2 linked regions of the Diceros bicornis minor genome follow. The protein of the gene in region 1 binds, or shares a complex with, the protein of each later gene. Links are inferred from orthologs where the notes say so. Each region holds a gene or a part of one and is shown in the gene's direction. Other genes may lie near its edges.

Region 1 (10,817 bases):
AGAACATTGTGAAATGAAGCAAATGAGAAGAAAGTCATCACAACTTAAAACACGTTGGAAATAATAGCCCTGGAGGAAGAAACTTAAATGCATTAATATCTATAAAATAAAAATAGGCCACATACCAATATATCTGCGTCAATAAGTGTTTCTCCACATTGACTATACAAACAAGAGGTTCAGATTTGCTGGAGTTCAAGATATATTTCAGGGGGAGATGTATATAATTCAGTGAGTTGGAAAATATAAATCAAATGTTGAAGAGCATGGTTTTATAAAATTTATGATTCAAAGGTGATTCTTCAGCTTGCAAGCTGAGCCTTATTTTAGTGATGTGTTTTCCCTTGTGATACATTTTTCTTTCACGGAGAATAAATCAGCCACAATCAAAACTATTATAAAATTCCAAGAACCGAGTAAGAATGACACATTCATCTAAAGCTGAAATTGTGTTCCACATGTTCAGGTGTGAAAAGCATATTTTAGTCATTTATTGACCTAAATAATGTGTCATTGCAGCTTTTTTCAAAGAGAATATAGCATGGTAGTCTCATCTCAGGTTCTATGATTTTTCCATGTTTATTCCAGCGTCCTAATCTCCCAAAAAGGCTTCAAATGCATCATGCTTTAGTGGCATTACCCTTGAAGGCATTGAATGCATTTACCTATTTTTTTTTTTTTAGGTATACATGTAAAAATTATATGCCTCAGAATCCCATGTAAAAAAACAATGACCACATTTTATTCATTCATTCATCTATTTATTCATTTATTTAAAGATGTGATTGCTACAGTTACTATTACTGTGTAACAAATAATCCCAAAATGCAATTGCTTAAAACAATCATTTTATTATGCACATGGATTCTGTGAGTCAGGAATTTGAACAGAGCACAGCTGGTTGACTAATATATACTCCACAGTATCTGGAGAAAATCTGAACCCTGGAAGGTGACTCAATGTCTAGGGGTTGGAAACATTCAAAGGCTTGTTCATGCGCATGTCTGGAGCCTTGGCTAGGACTGTCAAACAGAGTGTGTACACATGGCCTTTCCATGTGACCTGGCTCCCTCACGGTATGGTGGCCTCAGAATATTCAAACTTCTTACATGGCAGCTCAAGACTCTAACTACATAAGTTCTAGCAAACAACATAGAAACCACTTTGTCTTTTGTGACTCAGCCTCAGAAATCAATCAGCAAGTCAGCATCACTTCCACCATACTCTGTCTGGTCAATGTGATTATAAATCCACTCAGATACAAGGGGAAGGGAAATAGACCCCACTTCTTGTTGGGAGGAAAGTCAAAGAATTTGTAGGTTTTGTTTTAAAACTACCACAGGGGCATAATAAGATAGAGCACAGGATTTTTATTATTAGGAATAATAAGAAGGCTATAACTACAGGTATATCAGAGTTTAAAAATAATAAGTAATATTTTGACTAATGCTATCCCAATCAATTTAAAAACAAAGAAAAAGGACAATTTCCTAAAAATATATAATATACTGAAACTGAAAGAAGAAATGTAAAATCTGAATAGGTTTATAAGCATTAAAGAAATTAAATCCGTGGTCAAAAATTGAGCTACAGTCACATCCCCCCCCCACACACACACATACTGTTTCTCCAAAGATATACAACTAGCTAATAAGCTCAATGAATTGTGGTGCTCAACATTACTACTCATAAGGAAATGCAAATTAAAACCATGGGAGATACCACTTCATACCTACTAGGATGACTATCATCAAAAAATAGAAAATAATAAATATTGGTGATGATGTGCAAGAATATAAAATGGTTCAGCTGCTATGGAAAACAGTTTGGCAGTTTCTCAAAAAAGTTAACAGAGAATTACTGTATGACCCAACAATTTGACTGCTAAGTATATACCTAAAAGAATTGAAAACAGAGACTTGAACAGATAGTCGTATGTGACTGTTCACTGTAGCATTATTCACACTAGCCAAAAGGGGGGAACAACCCAAGTGTCCATCAGCATATGAACAGATAAGCAAAATGTGGTATATCCTTACAGTGGAATATTAGTCAGCCTTATAAAGGAATGTGGTACTGACACATGCTACAACATGGATGAACATTGAAAACATTGTGCTAAGTGAAATAAGTCAAACACAAAAGAACAAATATTGTATGATTCTCCTTATATGAAATAACTAGAATAGCGACAGAAAGTGGATTAGAGGTTACCAGGGGCTGGGCTGGGTTACCAGTGAGAGAAATGTAGAGTTATTGTTTAATGGGTACAGAGTTTCTATTTGGAGTAATGAAAAAGTTTTGGAAATAGTGGTGATGGTTGCACAACATTGTGAATGAATACATATCCACCTAAAACTGATGCAATATTATATGTCAATTATATCTGAATAAAACTGGGAAGAATGGCCCAAATGCAAATTTTGTTATATAGATATATTTTACCACAATAAAAAAATATATATCTCCAGACCCAAAAGACTTTATAGACAAGTTCACAGAACAGATACCGTGTGCATGTGTGTGCGTGTTTGCATGTATGTGTGTGAGAGGGAGAGAGAGAGAGAGACAGAGACAGAGAGAGAAATAGAGACAGAGAGACAGAAGGAGAGAGACAGAGAAGGACAGAGAGATTAATCTGCTTTGTTTTGAGATTAGAGTATCCTTTATACTAAAATAATACAAGAAAGGAAAAACAATCTCAATTTTGAAAGTAAAGCCAAAAAGTCTAAATATTAGTAACTAAATCCAACAATTAATCTTTTAAACATCTCGACCAAGTTTAGCTTATCCCAGGAATGCAAGAAAAGTTTGACATTAAAAAGCCTGTTAATGTAATTCACCACATTAAAAAATGAAAGAAGAAAAATCGTATTTGATTACCTCAAAAGATGCAGGAAAAAACCTCGTGATACATGATTCAACACTTATTCTTGATTAAGAACTCTTTAGCCAGCTAGGAACACTTAACCTAAAAGAGTGAGATTTTTGCATTTTGATTTAAAACAAATCTGCTAGATTCGTTTATTTTGCTTGCATCAGAATTTCTGCAAGAAATGATGTTTTTGAATGATGTTTTTTAATAATTTCAGACCTTTGTGAGGAGATGTATAATTCTTATGAACTGGTTTAGTTTAGTTAAATATTAAAAGATAAGAGAGGTCATAATCAGAAGGTTATTAGCACAAGAGTGGTGAACAAATCCTACCTCTTATGACAGTTGACCACTTTGAGTACACGATCTCTTACCGTAAACCTCTGCCATAGACTGAACTGTGTCCCCCCAAAACTCACATGTTGATCCCCAACCCTCAATATGACTGTATTTGGAGACAGGGATTTTAGGCGGTTATTAAGGTTAAATGAGGTCCTCAGGGTGAAGTCCTAATCTAATAGGATTGGCGGCCCCATTGGAAGAAGAAGAGAGAGTTCTCTCTCTCCCCATCCCAATGCACCAAGGAAAGGCCGTGTGAGGACCCAGCAAGAAGGCAGCCATCTACAAGCCGGGAAGAGAGCTCTCACCAGAAACCGAAGGGACTGGCACCTTGATCTTGGATTTCTCAGCCTACAGAACTGTGAGAAAATAAATCTCTATTGTTTAAGCCACCCGCTCTATGGTATTTTGTTAAAGCAGCCTGAGCTAAGACAACATCCACACTTTTTTAATTTAATAAACCTTACAGCATTTACTATGTGCCAGGATTTGACCAATATTAACTTACTAAATCTCATAACAACCCTCTGGAGTAGTCACTATTATTATTATTAACCTCAATTTACAGATGAGGAAACTGAAGCCTAGAGAAGTTAAGGAAGTTGTTGAAGATCCTCAACCTTAAGATCCTGCATTCAACTTCTTTCTCTCTTCTCTCCTGGGACTCCACTAGATGTGGTGGACCACTCAATTTCTCCACCATGTCTTTGATCCACTCTTTCCTATTTTCCATTTTTCTGTGCCACATTTTAATTTTTTAAATTTCTCTTTTGCATCATTAATTCTCTTTTCAGCTCTCTCATTAGTAGTTTAACACATCCTTTGCTTTAAAAAAAAAATCATAACTTTACTATTCATTTCTAAAAGTTCTAGCCGGTTCTTTTTCACATTTGCCTAATCTTTTTGATAGCATCTCACTCTTCTCATATTTTCAAAGCCTCCTTTTCAGTTCTTATATGGTCATTGTTTTTCTATATTCTCCATCTGATCATTGTATTATCAGAAGTTCTTGAGGATCTAGTAGTGCTCTCTGATTGTCTGCAGACTCTTGATTGTTTCCCCCTGTGTTGTCTAATTTTGGATTGTGAGCTCATCTTCAGCAAGGTTAATCTGTGGCCATCCTGAACTGACTACTTGAAAGTGTGTCCCTCCAGAAAAGTTTTGTATTTTTCTTTTGTGCTCTTGCTTGGCACCCCACAGGGATCCAGTAGCCTGAGACCATTTTTTAAAATTTGTCACTTAGGGGGTTCCTAAGTGATATAGGTAGCATAAACAAGATGCTTCAACAGCATAGTGCAAGCCAATGGTTATGAATTCTCTGGAGAATATTTTTTCCACCGTATGCAGAGCACACACTACAAGTTCTCTTGTTGTCTCCTTATGCCAGCACTAAATAATAGATAGTCTCTTTCAATCTAAAAGCCTGTTCTTCCACTTCTGAGATGTTTTCTAATATTACTGCTTTGATAAATTCTACCTTTTCATTTCCTTGGTTCTCTCTTTCTATAACTACAGGTGTGGAATTTCTTAACCTGAAATCCTCTCATTTTCTCTATAATACTTTTTTGTAAGGGCGATATGCTTGTTTTTTCATTGGAGAATTCAGAAACGACGATATCTTGGATCTAGTCTTTGTGGCTATTCAGTTTCTCCAGAAAACAATATTTCACGTTTTCCAATTTGATGCCTGTGGAGGTGGCACAGGGGGACCTAAAGATATATGTTTAGTTGCCTCAGTTCTGTGAAAAGGAGAGCAACCTGCCCACCTCTCCATTTTGTATCCAGTTTCCAGCCCTGAGACTCACCCACCCTCTGCCAAACCTGGGAACTTGAGACCTAGTGTCTCTGGTTCAACTTCCCTGGAGAAGAAAGGTGGCTTTTTGGACTGTAGATGGTGTTCTCCTCGTGTCTTCAGATCATCTTCCCTCTGTGTGTGTCCGTCTCTGTGCCTGAATTCCCCCTTTTTAAAAGGACACAGTCATATTGGATCAAGGCCCACCGAATGACCTTATTTTAACTTGATTACCTCTGTAAAGACCCCATCTCCAAATAAAGTCACATTCTGAGGTACAGTGGGTAGGACTGCAACATTTCTTTTTTGGAGTAACACAGTTCAACCCATAACACCACTGAGCCTAATTAAGAGCCTCTCTGGAGTTCTGCAGAGTAGATCAGGTCATTTCCTCATTCTTACTGCTACCTGCCCCCCACCACCACACACACACACACACACACACACACACGCAGATACACGCACAGAGACACACATACATACACACACAGACACACACGGACACATGTACACAGACACACATGCAGATACACACACAGACATACACATACACAGAGACACAGGGACACACATACATACACATACAGAGACATGTACACAGATACTTACACACGCAGAGACATACACACAGATACACAGACACACAGACACACATAGACACATACACACGGGCTCACATAGACACAGACGTACACATACACACATTCAGACACACAGATACACACAGAGACCCAAATACACACACATACACACGTATACTTGGAGTGTGGCTTTCTTTGGTCTGTTCATTCCATTACTCGTCTATCTACTTTGCCTCTTCTCCCATTTCCTTTGCTTTTTTGAGCCATAACATTTATGTCCTCTTTCAGTAATTTTAGAGGGATTCAGAGAATAAGCAGAGATTAGCCTGTACGTTCAATCTTCCACCTTTAACCAGAAAACACTCCAGAGCCACATTCGCTGGTGCCCAAAGCCCCTCCAGGAAGCCTTTGCTGTGGATAAGCTGGACACCCTCACCCTACAACTGCGGCCTTTTATGGTTTTAACCACCCACCTCTGAGCATCGCCTGTGTTTTACCAGAAATGCCCAGTGACCCCTGATGACATGAGGGAGGCTATCTTACAACTTGACCTAATTTTTGCCCAGGTCCCCCAAGCTGACTTCTCTTTGTCCTTCTCCTGTAGGCTGTGCTCCTCTGATCACCCCACATGTTTGTTGTGTTCCACTGCTGGAAGTAACCTGCCACTTTAAAAGAAAAAAAAGCCACCGAGTGACCTTCCTTAGGAACGGGTTGCTAAGCGGGTGTTTTTGCTTGGAGACTTGGCTGCAGCTTCCAGGGAGCAGCCTAGGGGCCGCCCCAGCATTCAGCATTTCCTTTTGGACTCTTTTAGAAGATTCAACAATAGGACCTGTCTCTCTCCACTTTCCCTTCGTCCCAGAAAGCAGAGTCTGCACAGCGCCTTTGTAAAGTTCCTTAAGGTAAAGCAGTTCTTCCCGGGAGCGGGGCTGCTGCAATGGTGTCCCGCTCTCAGTCCCCAGGCTTGGAGTTCAGCCTCTCCCCTCGGTAACCTGAGTGGATTTAATGAACTGTAAATTAAGGGTTCTCATCATTACTATTGATGTTTTACTTTCTGGAATTGAAGCACAGAGCGTTCCTTGGACTGCTTAGATTGAGCTGCTGCCCGGTGTCTGGTGTGCAGGCTATGTCAGTCAGGCTCATCACAGCCCCTGGGTGGAATTCCTCCCAGAGGGTCGGTCCCTCTGCTTCCTGCCTGGGACTTCCATGCCGTCCTGTTGCATCCGGTCTCCCAGAAACATTTGCTGCATGTTGCCGTTCTGGGCCTTTCAGTTCCAATTTGTTTGAGGGGGGAAGTACTAGTTGTTGCAGCCTTCACCCTTCCTCCCATTAGACAGAGAAAAGGCCACTACAGACACAGGGCTGTGGATTGCTGTTCTCTCCAAAAGACCTCAAGATAATCTGCTGGCTGCGATTTAAGCTGATTATTTCCCTTCATTGCAAAGAGGTGCTATGAAAAGCTAATAAATCTAATGGGAAATACAAGTCTGTGGTTGGATTTTCATATCACCTTTTCTGCAAGTAAATTCAGCACCAGAATGAAATCTCTCTCGATATCTCTCTCCTAGAGCTCATTTAAAGAGTCTTTCATTCAAACATTTATCGGGCATCCACAGTGCACCAGGCAATGTGCTGAAGTTGAGAGTGTGCAAAAGTGAATAAGATAGGTCAGAAGCTCTGAGTTTCCTGGGAAGACAGACCTGTAAACAGATCATAACAGTAGAGTGAGCTGAGTGCCATAGGAGATTTATCACAGGGTTTAAAGTGCTTAGAGCACAGCAGACTACTCCCAGGGAGGGCCTGGGGGCACCTGGTTCATCGTGTGTGCGCCCTGGGCATATATCACAGAGCGCAGCTCAAATATGGGATTTATATGTGCTCTTCAAGGGCGATGTGTGTTATATTGAGCTGATTAAGGTCCCTAACCTTAAACTATGGGAAGCTACGGCTGGAATAACTTGTAGAATTAGGTAATAAATTTTAAAAAGGGTGTGTGTGGCCCCTGCCCAGCGTAGGTCCAGGCTCCAGCTCTGCCAGTCTGGACAGAAAAAGCTAAGCACTGTACACAGGGAGAAATGCCCATGGGTGTGAGGGCAGGGGAAGGCTTCAGAAACACCATAAATAGAAACAGAAAGAAAACTGCCCTGGGCCCAGCTCAGGGAAGGGAGAGGGGATATTGGTTATTAGAGCCAGAGAGTTGAACTTGGGAACCAAAGATGGTACAGGGGGCCTGATCTAAGGTCTTTCTTATGACTCTCCTTCTGTCCCCTAAGCTCTTTCCCTCCCCACACGATTCTTCTACTTTCCCTCTCTACCATCACATTTTTTAATAATAACGCTTACTGGTATTGAAAGCCTGGTCCAAGCTAGGCATTTTACTACACACATTTTATCATTTAACCCTTATAAAATCATCACCCACTGAGGTAGGATTTATGATGGCAAGTTTACAGATGTAGAAATCTCAGAGAGGTGAAGGCATTGCTCCAAGAGCACACAGCTGATAAATAGAGCTGGAATTGGAACCCAGGTCCATATAATTTTTTACAAAGGCCTCACTCTTTCTATAAACCCATGTTTTCACAGTTCTGGAGTAGGATGCACCCACTGTATTGTTTTTTAAGCAGCCAAGGTTGAGATGCAGTGCATACAATGGTGCCCTTTTCATATATCTTCATTCCTTTTCCCCTACATCCTGTAGAATTTGCCACAGGGGCCCCTGGATAGGACTTTGATCCTCTTGACCCTCAGAGATAGTCCATTTGTTTGGATGAAGGTGTCACTACTTTCCTTGAAATATGTCTGTGGTTTCTGCACTGAGTTAAATAAATCATTGACTTAAAGTAGCCAAAGCCCGTTCTCAGTGGGACAATGCTCCACTTCAACTCAATCATCAATATTTCCAGAATAGTTGGCTAGCATAGAATGGTAACTGATATCATCGTAAAAGCGAGACTAAATGGTGAGGCAGAGTGGCACGGAAGAGGACTCTGGGATCACAGTCTTGGGGTCAAATTCTGAATGTGACGTTGAATAACTATCACCTTGGGCAAGTCATGTAACCTGTCAGAGGTTAACCTCAGAGGAAACCTTGGTTTCCTCGTATGTAAATTGAGGCATGTGCTACTAAGTTAGCAGAGTTATTGTGAGGCCTCATGATCACATGTATCTAGAGAGAGCACAAAATAAGTCTGCAGTAAATCACAGCTCTTATTTTGATGTTACCAATAGAAATATATTAACAAGCGCTCAACGCAAGATGACAAGCTGCATATTAAAGTGGGGCAATATTAATTTATCTTTTCTTAGCAACAGTGTTCATGAAAACATAAATTTTGATGTTATTTGATTTCCTTAGAAACTCATTCAAAAGTAATGATCAGGAAAGAATGAGAAGAAAAAAATCAACCCCATTACATTTTTCATTTTCTACTTCTATTTCTTTCTTTCACATACAATATATTTTTTTAATTTATTGAGAAAGAATCTTTTTTCAGTCACTAAAATATATCACAGTTCTTTTGTTCCCGTTCATAATTACCAGAGGTGTTTATTAGAGAGGTTTCGTGTCCTGTGGCATTTCATTTTTATTATCTGCCCCTCCTTCTCTCTAGATTACCTCCCCATCCTTTTGTTTTCCTAGCTGCTTTCATCATCTCTCTTCCTCTGTTTTTTGTAGCCCACGAGGAGGTCTGGATGGGAGACAATGGAATTTCAGATGTTTTATTTCCCTTTAACGTGCTAATCCCCCACTAGGGTCAGTGAAACCTTGAATACCTCAGATGAACTGCTTAAATGACTGAGTCCCAGCTAGGAGTCAGATTCCACGGATATGAGGAAGGGCTTATGATTTGTCAGCCCTGATGTTTCTCGCCATGTTTTCTCATTTCATGCTTCGCAGCAGCCCAAAAAGGCTGATGAAGCTTTGAAGCACTCCAGAATGTGGCCATGGAGATGCAGTCAGTATATAGTGATTTAGTCTTCCACTCAACAAATATTTATTGCGTGTCTGCTGTGTGCCATCATCCTAGACTCTGGGGGTAAACAACGAATGAATATCCTGCCCTCCTGAAGCTTATATTTCAATAGGAACGGGCAGACAATAACAAATAAGTACATATGTTGACTGGTGATAAGAACTGTGGAAAAAGAAATCACTATAAGGCAGTTAGGGGGTTCCAGGAGGTTATCATTGTATTGTGAGTGTACAGGGAAGACCTCTCTGATAAAACGAAAGTTGAGCAGAACTGAGTTCTGAGGGAACTGAAAGAGAGAGAGACATGCAGATATCTTGGGAAAGAGAATTCTAGGCAGAGGGAACAGCAAGTGCAAAGGCCCTGAGGCAAGAGGATGCAAGTGCAGATCATGTAGGGCCTTGTATGCTATTGAAAGGATTTTGAATTTTACTCTGTTGAGAAAGGAAAGTCATTGGAGGATTTTGAGTGGAGGAATGACATGATTTCACTTAAATTTTAAATAATTCACTCTCACTTCAATGTAGAGACTGGACTGTAGGTAAGAAGGTGGGAAGCAGAGAAGATAGGAGGTTCTCCCACTAGGCCACATGAGAGACCACGGTGCTAGACCAGAGTGATAATAGTGGAGGTGCTTGGAGGTGGTTGGGTTCTTAACATAATTTGAAGGCCAAGCTGGCAGGACTTCTATGGATTGGATGCGGTGTGGCATATGAGAGTCAGAGAGGAGTCAAGAATGACTGTCAGGTTTCTGGCCTGAGAAAAACGGAGTTCTGTTTATTGCAACAAGGAAGGTTGCAGGACAAGCAGATTCAGGGGTAATGACGCAGAGCTTCGTTTGGGGCACGTTAAGCCAAGTGAAGGCATCCATCAAGCACTTGAATGTTTGAGTCTGGAGTTCTGTGGAGATGTGTGGCCCCAGGATCTAAATTTGGGGAATATCAGTGAGTGGATGGTATTTAAAGCCAAGAGACAGGACGAGAAGGCTAGGGGAACGAGTTGAGGCAAGGCTGGGCCCCAGGCACTCTCACATGTAGTGGTTGGGAGATGAGGACAGACCAGCCCAGGAGTTTGAAAAGGAGCAGCCAGTGGGTAGGAGGAAAACCAGGAGAGCATGTCCCAGAAGCCAAATGAAGAAAGTATTTCAAGAAAAAGAAAGTAATTGGTCACTTTCATGACTAAATGCCTCTTACGTGTCAAATAAGATGAGGACTGAGGATTGATCATTAGATGTGGTGACACAAGGGTCCCTGGCAAGA
Region 2 (10,862 bases), on another chromosome or scaffold:
CAGAGTAAAACAAAACCGTCTGTAAATGACAAAAGACTTAAAAATGGCAATTGATAAAAATAAAAAAACTTGGGGGCTGGCCTGGTGGCGTAGCAGTTAAATACGTGCGCTTCTCTTCAGCAGCCTGTGGTTCGTGGGTTTAGATCCCAGGCATGCATTGACGCATCGCTTGTCAAGCCATGCTGTGGTGGCATCCCACATAAAGTAGAGGAAGATGGGCACAGATGTTAGCCCAGGGCCAATCTTCCTCAGCAAAAAGAGGAGGATTGGCATCGGATGTTAGCTCAGGGCTAATCTTCCTCACACACACACAAAAACAAAACAAAACACAAAACTTGGCCATTTCTGTGACACAACACTAAAATAATAATTGGAATTATAACTGACAACCAGGATAGATCAGCGTTTTAGGAATGTTATATAATTTTTTAAAAACACTTATATCAATAACATTTACCCACATAATGTCATAGGTTCCTATGAAACAATGCTTAGTTATCCATTTAACCAAAGTGACAATTAGATTTTGAAGGCAGAGAGAGCCAAACAGTTTAAAAAAGCTTAATAGAGAGACTTCAGCCTTTTTGAACATAGGAAATTATTTTGACAAAACATAGCTTTTCTTTCTTTTACGTAGATTTACTCAAAGGTAAAGAAAAACCTTTTATAATTTATTATTAAGAGCAGACTAAAAGTTTAAGAAAATTATCCTTTCAAGAGAGAGACAACCAAATTCTAATTTTGCACCAGCTTATTTTTGATATTAAAACTCATTTACTTAATTAAATCCACTTTAATCTTAGCCAACTTGACCATGTACAAAATTCTTTTCTCAGTTTTTCTTTTTATAAACCTTCTATAACCTTTTTAACAAACAAAAATCTTTATTTCTCATACCTTCTTTACTGAAAACATACATCTTACTTTCCTTGAATACAAAGATGTTTTCCTTATCAATTTTTAGTAGTTTTAATCACATATTAGAATTTTTAACCCTTATAGACCTTAATTTTTAGTGAAAACTGAGAAGTAAGCAATTATAAACTGTCTTTTACAGTAGCATTCTGTGGCTTGGCAAGTTTATAAACACTTTTCATAATTTCTAGAAACATGCTACTTCATAGTACAATCTTTTTTTGTGTATGTGAGGAAGATCAGCCCTGAGCTAACATCCATGCCAATCCTCCTCTTTTTTTTTTTTTTTTTTTTGCTGAGGAAGACTGGCCCTGAGGTAACATCTGTGCCGATCTTCCTCCACTTTATGTGGGATGCTGCCACAGGATGGCCTTACAAGCAGTGCATCAGTGTGCACCCGGGATCCAAACCCAGGCTGCCAGCAGCGGAGCACGTGCACCTAACTGCTACGCCACGGGGCTGGCCCCCAGTACAATCTTTTAATAAAACACAAGACATGTTTTCTAAAAGACCTAAACACTTTTTAGTTTCTCTGTAATAAGAAGCCAAAAGTAGATGAACCTATATTAATAATTAACATCTAATATTTTATCTTATTTAGAAACGATCTTGATATTCAGTGAAATTTCCATCATTTAATTTAGCCAAGCAAAACTTCAAAATTTCAAGTTACTAAAGAGATTTTGGAAGTTATTTTAAATACTCATGCCATAAAATATAATTATTGCTAAAAGTTTATCTATAAACTCTTATCTCACTTACATCTAAATCATTTGCTCCCAACAACTATGTTTAGATTACCCACGAAAACTTCATGAGACATTAGACAAAATTAGCTTATCATTTTAAGCTATTATTTTCCTGACAAATTTTTAACAGAGATAACATGAGCTTATTTTTTAATTTTATTTTATATTTTTGCTGAGGAAGATTCACCCTGAGCTAACATCTGTGCCAATCCTCCTCTATTTTGTATGTGGGTCGCCGCCACAGCATGGCCCCCAATGAGTGGTGTAGGTCTGTGCCCAGGAACCAAACCCAGGCTGCTGAAGCAGAGTGCACTGAACTTAACCACTAGGTCACAGGGCCAGCCCAACATGAGCTTATTTGACTAGTAAACCCAGGCTGCATGTCTGCATGATATCCAACGCCGATAACTCTGAGGACATGTTTATTTCAATCAAACCAACAAACTTAAACAAGTTTGCATTTACCAAAGATTGTTTTATATCATGTTAACTTGAAAGACATTTGAATTAGTTTCTATTACATTTAGAAATAATTTATGTAAGTGCTTACTTTAAGCCAATTAAACAGAGCTCTTAATCTTGGCCATAGCTTCCAGAGGTAAAATATCACACATATATAATATACATATAGACACACATACACAAAGACTCCACAGCTACTGTTTTAAAACTTTAGGACAATGTACCACACCTTTAAAAGTCTGCATAAAGCATTTAACAAAGGCCTTCTTTCTAAGTGTACAATTTAATCCTAGACCAATTTACCTTGGGTGGGGAGGAGCTTTTATTACCTTTTTTTTTTTATTAGCACCTGATATTAGCCTCTAGTTTTTATCTCATACAGTACAGGCTCAGGCAACTCTATTGACTTCCCTTTAGTATATTTAATTAACATTGTCTGAAGGGCAGATTTATATGCTGTCTTACAATCAGGCAGGGGAAATGTTCCCCAGTAAGACAGGATGTCTATCCCCATAATACGATCTATAATACAATCAGGCAAAAAGAGATGCAATCACTTCACATAAAGCCCATAAATATATCAATTTTCTACAAAATTTCATCTGAATTCCATTAACTCTTATACCTCTAATGATAGTTCCATTAGGACTTTATCAATAGGTCTCAGTCTTATAATATTGGAAGGGGAAGTGTTCCCAGCCAGATATAACGTCCATTTTCAAAACACACTCAGGCAAAGTTGATATAGCCTCTGTACAATATTAGCTCAAACACTTCAACTTCTATAATCTCATCAACACTTATATTTTTACAGTTTCTCAATTTAATTGTAACCTGAGTCAGGGTCTGAAGGCTAGTCATTATTTGTTTTGTATTTCATTTTTAATTTGGTCTTTTCATAGTTACCAATAAAACAATTATGATGAGAGTTCTCAAAAAATGTTTTATAATTTAGAGAAGTTTTTCCAATTTAAATGATCCATCATCTGGCCACATTGAGGAGGAGGATCTTAATAGCTACTCAAACTGATACTGAACTTCTTAATCTCAAGTTCATGTGCCTGGTGTGCAGTAAACCAATCGCTGAGATATCAGTGCTTGGAGATGGAGAAAGGTTTATTTGAACTGGCCACACGAGAAGTCAGGAGGATAGGTTCTCTCAAATCTGCCTTAAGAGAAGAAAGCAAGGGATTTTATAGAGCTAAGTGGCTTGGCAGGAGGAGTTTCAAAGAAACAAAGGAGTAATCCATGTTTCTTTCACTCCCGATAAGCCCCTGGGCAATCTGACTTCTGGGTGTCCACAGCAGCTGGGGGCTGGTTATCTGCGGATCCTTGAAGGCATTCTTTTTCTTCTGTAAAACAAGCTCATAAATCCTTGTGATCCTTGAGTCACTCCTCAGGTTAAACAAGAAAACAGCAAATTGACAAGATTAACTTATTTTCATCTACGCCTGTGTTGGGAACAAGGTTGAAAAGTAATCTTATTGAATATTTACAGTAACCCTCAAGTACCTGGCTTCAAAACCAATAAGCCTTATGGCTTAACCATGGACACGGAGCCATCCCCAAAACATAGTGCAAAAGAAGCAGCCCTCACAAGATCCAGAAAGTTCATTCACAAAAATACTAAGAAAGCAAGGGCCTTCATTGCCCAGGCAGTAAGACCAGCATTAACAAGCCACAAAGGTTGAGATGACAGAATTCCCTTATGAAAGCAAGTGGGATGCCTTATGACAAACCCCCCTGAGAGCTGATACAGCCAGACAAAGAGAGTGCATCTCAGACCCCAGTCTACTCGACTGATCGCCAAGATGCATGCCAGTACCTGCATCTTCTGAATGGTGGAGACCAAAAAGGTCACAAAGCCAAGCTCTCAAGACATAGACACAAAGACAGAGACAAGGAAAAATAGTGACTATCTCTGGGAGGAAAAGGATCAATAAATAAATCAATGAGTACTCAAACCAAATTTCCCAGAGTCGCTGAGGCCAAGAAGCTAGCTTCACCAATATTTTCTCCTGCTAATCTAAATTTAGAAAAGGAAAAACACTCACCACTTTCGCTTCCATTGGACCATGCAGGCAGAGATCCGGGAGACTGACCTGGAAAGAACTCTTACCTCCTGCCGGCTCTTGTCAGGGATCCAGGATCTCTCTCAGCTGCAGTAGTCCAGGAGCAAGCAGCCTCCAGCCAGTTAAGTTTTGCCCCATCCTGGTCACCAAACTGTGGGGGAGGAAGGCAACGTACATGGTGATGGAAAAGCAAATGTTGGATAAGCAAATGTTTGCTGGGCCATCTACAGACAATGAGACACGGAAGCGATCTTTTGAGAAAATGGCCCTTGCTAGATGCCTTCCTGTCTACCACACCTAGAATTATCTACAGTGAGAGCGCCTTGCTGGGACAGGTCCTTCAATCTTAAAGCCTTTTAGGCAATTAGGGGGAAGGTCAAAGTTTCCTTTAGGGTCTTTTGTCCTTCAAAATAATCAAGCCAAAGAGACACATTTTGGGGTGGCAAATTCTGATTCCCCACAGTGCTATCACCTTACGTGACTTTTTTGGGAAAAATGGGTGCTTTCTGTGAGTCACATCCACCGATTTTCAGGCCAAAGTTTCCGATCACTCAGTGGAAGGCAGTGTGATGTGGTGCAACAAGTAGTGTTTGAGAACTCAGGACACCGGGGTTTGGTCCCCATCACCATTTCTGAATCTATTTGAAAGGGGCCGATGGCTCTGCCTTAGTTTCCTCATTTGTAAAGTGCATCAAGTCCAGCCTTGGGTGTGAGCGACCTTTGTTCTCACGCGCTGCAAACGGTGGCTCGCAGGACCCCAGCTTGAGCGTGCACACACGCTTCGCCTGGCCTAGGCCCCTCCTGGGGGGGCTGCGGCAGCGCGGCGCCGCTGACCGCGAGTTGCGCGCGCAGAGCCTCCACACCTCACCAGCCCAGCGTCTCCGTTGCTGGGGGAACGGAGCGACGCGCTTTCCGGCGCAGTCGCGGCGCGTCGCAGCTGTCATGGCGGAGGCCTTCTGGAGCACTGACACCGGAGAGGCCGTGTATCGCTCTCGGGACCCCGTGCGCAACCTGCGCCTCCGGTAGTCGCATCGCCCTACCTAGAGCCCCGTGCTTTTATGCCCTTAGATAATTCGAGCCCGAACTTCACTTCTCGTTTGCTGAGGCACGCACATCCGCCTACAATCCTGACCACTGCCTCCCCATTCTCCTCGCGTCGCCCTCACTGCCCGGAACCTTCCGCACTCACAGCTTCCAGACTCTCCGAAGCCCTTTTAAGACCCTGCCTCTCCCAGATTCCTCGGAGCTCTGTGTCCCCAATACACTCTGTCATTCTCGCCCTTCTCCTTAGGACCCCACACCCCGCTTACCTCCCCCTCTGTTGCCTGCACCCAGTACACCTTGGTAGCCTCACCCTCTTCTGTGTTTTGTTTCCATCTTTGCTCTGTGTTCATCTCCTAGTTGTATGTCTTGTAACGAGTATTTCGGGTTCCCTTTTCCTGACAGAGTCCACCTGCAAAGAATCACATCAAGCAGCTTCCTCCATTACCAGCCTGCTGCCCAGCTCGGGAAGGACCTCATAGACTTGGCCACTTTTAGGCCTCACCCAACCGCCAGTGGGTGTATGGTGGTGATGCGGCCCCTTGGGGATCTGGAGAAGTGCCTGGGGCGGTAGTTACCTCTTAAGACAGAGTAGACCCAGGTCTCTCATCTGAGAAAAGGCATAGATAGGTTGGGTTCCTTACCAAGGGTCACTCGGCTGGGTAAATGTTGAAGCCAGATTTAATCCCAGGCAATTTTAACTACTCCATTATGTTGAGTATGACAATTGAATATGACATGATTCCTGCCGTCAAAATACTGATCTGAATTGTGGTCAAATATAATAAAATAACAGAGGCCATACTTTAGATATGTTATAAATCTGCCTGGAAACGTAAATACCATTTGTGGCATTTTTTTCTAAGAGAAAATCTGATCCAAATACTTTGTAAAACGATGTTAAAATTGGGGTCTGCTTGAAAGATGTACATATTAACATCAACTGCCCTCTTGTGGTTTTCCTTATTTGGGAAGCCAGAAGAGTGAGGAAGCGAGGACAGTGTGTTTGTGTTGTCACTATTCTCTCTGCTTTTATTGTTTCTGTTCGTATATATTCCTGGACAAAAGTATGGGCTGATGGTTGTGAAGCATGTAACTCTGAAAAAGGCATACCCAGCCAGGAGTGTATTAGATTTGGTTCTTTTTTTTTTTTTTTTTGTGAGGAGATCAGCCCTGAGCTAACATCCGCCAATCCTCCTCTTTTTTTGCTGAGGAAGACGGCCTTGGGCTAACATCTGTGCCTATCTTCCTCCACTTTATATGGGACGCCGCCACAGCATGGCTTACCAAGCAGTGCGTCGGTGCGCGCCCGGGATCCGAACCAGCGAACCCCGGGCCGCCGCAGCGGAGCGCGCACACTTAACTGCTTGCGCCACCGGGCCGGCCCCAGATTTGGTTCTTTAAATAATCATTTATTTGCCTTTCCTCTTCTTGCCTGATACTTGGTCTCCTAAGGGTAAGTGCTTGTGATTCTAGATATATGGCTTCAGGGATAGTAAGGATAACAATGCCAGGGTTCCTTTCTAGCAAATGTAGACAGTTGGGGTTGAGGAAGAGCTCTTCAGCCTATATCTAAATTTCAGCTCCTGACACTGAATTAGATTAAATAATTCCTGGAAGGCATGACTCATTTTTATTCAAATTAGAGTCATAATTAAGACTTCTTGGGTCCTAATCCTGGCTTCTACACATGTCCACAGCCTCTCTAACCTTTGTGTAGAGTGAGTGCTTAATAAATTGCTGAACTCCACCTGGTTTTGTGGCAAATATTAGAGCAGGGACTTTGGTTATAACCAACCACAGAGCAAGAAGTAGTACTGCTTTGGCTCAAACGTTTGACGCACTCTGTTGTCTTTGGAGGTGGACACCGCCCAGATGAAGATGAAGAGGAGGAGGTCGTGATTGGGTGGCAGGAGAAGCTCTTTAGCCAGGTAAGCTGGTGTCACTTGTCTGCTAGGTCTACCTCCACCTGGCTGTAGCAGGGAAGGATCTTTGATACATACTGCCAAACTGATTTCTAGAAAGGTTGTAGCAGTTTATATTTTCCCCTGTTGTGTTTATAGGGGCAGTGTAACATAGTGACTGCCACTACCCAGTTTTATGATCCTGAGTAAGGCACTTTTCACCTCTGGGCCACGTGCCGTCTGTAACAGCAGAGTTAGATGAGACCATCACCCTGGTTCCTTTTAGCTCTAACATTCTTTGGATCCCCTGCCCTCCAGTGCTTTAGATAAATTGAGAGTTGGCTACGAAAACATGTCAAATTGCATTAGCTCTATAGAACTGATTTGACTAAACAGTTATAGGAACAAAAGTTTGACATATTTGGGGCCTGCCCCATGGTGCAGTGGTTAAGTGCGTGCGCTCAGCTTCCAGGGCCCGAGGGTTCACAGGTTGGGATTCCGGACGCGCACCGAGGCACCGCTTGTCTAGCCATGCTGTGGTGGCGTCCCGTATAAAATAGAGGAAGATGGGCACACATGTTAGTCCAGGGCCGGTCTTCCTTGGCAAAAAGAAGAGGATTGGCATGGATGTTAGCTCAGGGCTGATCTTCCTCACGCACACACAAAAAAGTTTGACATATTCTCAGTAGATCTCTGTCTCATTGTGACCTCAGTTTGAAGTAGATCTGTACCAAAATGAAGCAGCCTGTCAGAGCCCTTTGGATCATCAGTACCGTCAAGAAATCCTGAAGCTGGAGAATTCGGGTGGCAGGAAGAACCGACGAATCTTTACCTACACTGACTCTGATAGATACACCAATTTGGAGGAGGTATTGTTCTTTCGGAGGTCCCATAGCTTCCGTCTCCTTTCCCTCCCCTAGCTTTCTGGCCTCACTGGGTTCTGTGTGTTAAATTAGAAGCCTGTTAGGGAGAAACAGACAGCCTGTCGAAGAACTGCCTTGTGCTATTGGCAGCCAAGCTGGAGTAGAGTGGGCAAGTCTGCAGGTGGTGTGACCTGCTGCTCCCTTCTCTGCCTGCTGGAGGGCCTGGGGGAGCTGGCAGTGTCTCTAATAATAGGCTTACAGACTACAAACCAGAAGAAGCAGCTTGACTTCCTCCATGTATCATGAGATAAGATAGGTGGGTGGAGTCTCGAACCATCTAGATAAAATTCATCAGGAGATTCAGTCAAAACTCTTGAGTAGGGGCCAGCCGGTGGCGCAAGCAGTTAAGTGCACACGCTCCGCTGCAGCGGCCCGGGGTCTCCGGTTCGGATCCCGGGCGTGCACCGATGCACCACTTGTCAGGCCATGCTGTGGCGGTGTCCCATATAAAGTGGAGGAGGATGGACATGGATGTTAGCCCAGAGCCAGTCTTCCTCAGCAAAAAGAGGAGGATTGGCGGATGTTAGCTCAGGGCTGATCTTCCTCACAAAAAAAAAAAAAAAACAAAACTCTTGAGTATATGGGTTTGTAAAGGAATTCAGCATAGCCATGGGGAATGGCTTATGTCCTCAATTTGTCTGTGCCTACAAACCCTTGTGGACTTGTTTTACATTTTCTTTAGTCATTGTATAATATGTTCTATCTTCTCAGTGAGATTTTAAATTCCTTGAGAGTAGAGCCTGTATTTTCTGATTTTTGTCTGTGACCTTGTAGATCTCTGCAAGGAGCAGGTGTTACATGAATGTTTTTGAAAGATTGATGCTTATATTAGGAAAGCAGTGGGTTGGTAGTATATAAAATTTGGGTTGTCTTTGGAAAAGTAAAGCAAATTGCAGTTAGCGCTCAGTTACCCATGTGAGGATCACAGAATACTTGTATCCCATTTGGCGTCTTCCAACTACCTGGTTAATGTCAACATCTACCAGGCAAACTCACCCAACTTTTCGTTGGTATGGATTGCAAACTCATTTTAATATCAGCATAAATAAACTCATTTCTGAAGGATAACATACAGCTAAAATCTTAGGGCAAACCAAAGCATGGTAGGAATCTTATGCGGATTGTTTGTGCCACTGCTCCCCTCTGTTAGTATGTGTAATTGTGAGGTGGCTGTACCTCTTAGGTTCAGGTCTTGGATGAGGTTTCAGAAGGAAGACTTGCCTTCAGGTACTTGTCTCTTGTGGCCCTGACTAGATGGGTTACACAGGGCTGCTCTCTTTTCCCAGCACTGTCAGAAAATGACCACTGCAGCCAGCGAGGTGCCATCATTCTTGGTTGAGCGAATGGCAAATGTCAGACGGCGACGGCAGGACAAGCGAGGGATGTGAGTGCAAGTGTATACGGGGGCTCTGGGGAGCCTTTGTGGTCCTTCGTGCCGGTGTCCTCGATATGCCCACCGACTTGAGCTTCCCATTCTGCAGTAGGCCTCCACCTGGGTGTGCTCCTCTGTGTTCCTCCTTCAGGCTATTCAGGGGGTGCCAGAGAAGTGACCCTTCCTGTGGTGTCTCCCAGGGAGGGCAGCATCCTCAAGTCGCGAATTGTCACCTGGGAACCCTCAGAAGAGTTCATCAAGAACAACCATGTCATCAACACCCCTCTTCAGACAATGTACATCATGGCAGACCTAGGGCCCTATGGAAAGTGAGTGAAGCTTCTCACTGCCCAGCTCAGGTCCTCATCCTCATGATCTCTCACTAACCATCACCTACCTGTTATAGTCATGTGGGAGTATGGGAGGGAGGGACTTTTTCTTCGTTTTCTTCTTCTTAGTTGTACTCAGAAGAAAGTATTCTACCATGATAATTCTCACTAGAGCCTCTGTCCTCTCCCTGATGTGGGCTGACTACTTCTTCCTCTTTCCCTGGAGGTGGGACCAGTGATCCTGAACCTTGGTGTTGATTTCCTGGTTTCTAGGCTTGGCTATAAGAAGTATGAACATGTCCTGTGTACTCTGAAGGTGGACAGCAATGGTGTGATCACAGTAAAACCTGATTTCACCGGCCTCAAAGGACCCTACAGGTGCGGAGAGGAAGAAAGGGGTAGTGGAGCCTGGCATTCCTTCCCTAGGCTTCTCTTCTTACCCCTAGTGGAGAAGATTCTCAGACAGCCCGTCCTCTGTTCTAACTTCTAAATTCTCAGGCAGTGGTTCACATTCTATTCTGGGTCATAGACCCTTAGGATACTGGGGCTCTTGTTCTCAGAAAATGTGCAACTGCACCAATTCAAAAATGATAACTTCAGCCGTGTAGTGAAGTGAAAATAATTCTTCGTGCTGCTGAATGTAAGAACTAACCAGAACAAGGTGAGATGAACTCAGCCAGATCTTTTCCTCCGGGCTGATTGTTCCTCATCTCTATGCCTTAGAATAACAACTGTAAATTAGAAATTATCCAGACCCACCTGTCCATTTTTCAGGTGAGAGAACGGAGTGCTAGGGATGTTGTGCTTTAGGGTTTCACTATGACTTTAAGGCAGAAATGAGCCCAGAACCTGTACTCTCTGAGTCGAGTCTCGTGCCCTTTCTGCTTTGCCATTTTGTTTCCCTCTCCTGGTCACCATTCTGGCCATTTTTGTCATCATATACTCTAAGTGAGGTGTGTGGCCGGTTATGTCTCATCTCTGGGCTAGATCTGGGGGCCCCATCTCTTATTATCAGAGTTGGTCTTTTTGTGGCTTTGACCTTACAGAATTGAGACTGAGGGGGAGAAGCAGGAGCTGTGGAGGTATACGATCGAC

What was found. The genes of interacting proteins can lie anywhere in the genome.
Region 2: CC2D2A (region 1) and MKS1 share a complex: the UniProt entries of both Homo sapiens proteins name them as parts of the tectonic-like complex. The link is inferred for Diceros bicornis minor from reciprocal best matches to the Homo sapiens genes CC2D2A and MKS1.

The regions. Positions count from the first base shown.
Region 1 is NC_080747.1:11,983,016-11,993,832, forward strand, and holds the start of CC2D2A (coiled-coil and C2 domain-containing protein 2A), read left to right. Parts: upstream 1-6,377; 5' UTR 6,378-6,486; intron 6,487-10,817. UniProt on the Homo sapiens protein: Component of the tectonic-like complex, a complex localized at the transition zone of primary cilia and acting as a barrier that prevents diffusion of transmembrane proteins between the cilia and plasma membranes.
Region 2 is NC_080757.1:29,466,890-29,477,751, forward strand, and holds the start of MKS1 (tectonic-like complex member MKS1), read left to right. Parts: upstream 1-5,131; 5' UTR 5,132-5,140; coding exon 5,141-5,220; intron 5,221-5,644; coding exon 5,645-5,754; intron 5,755-7,099; coding exon 7,100-7,170; intron 7,171-7,856; coding exon 7,857-8,012; intron 8,013-9,352; coding exon 9,353-9,450; intron 9,451-9,638; coding exon 9,639-9,767; intron 9,768-10,040; coding exon 10,041-10,145; intron 10,146-10,813; coding exon 10,814-10,862. UniProt on the Homo sapiens protein: Component of the tectonic-like complex, a complex localized at the transition zone of primary cilia and acting as a barrier that prevents diffusion of transmembrane proteins between the cilia and plasma membranes.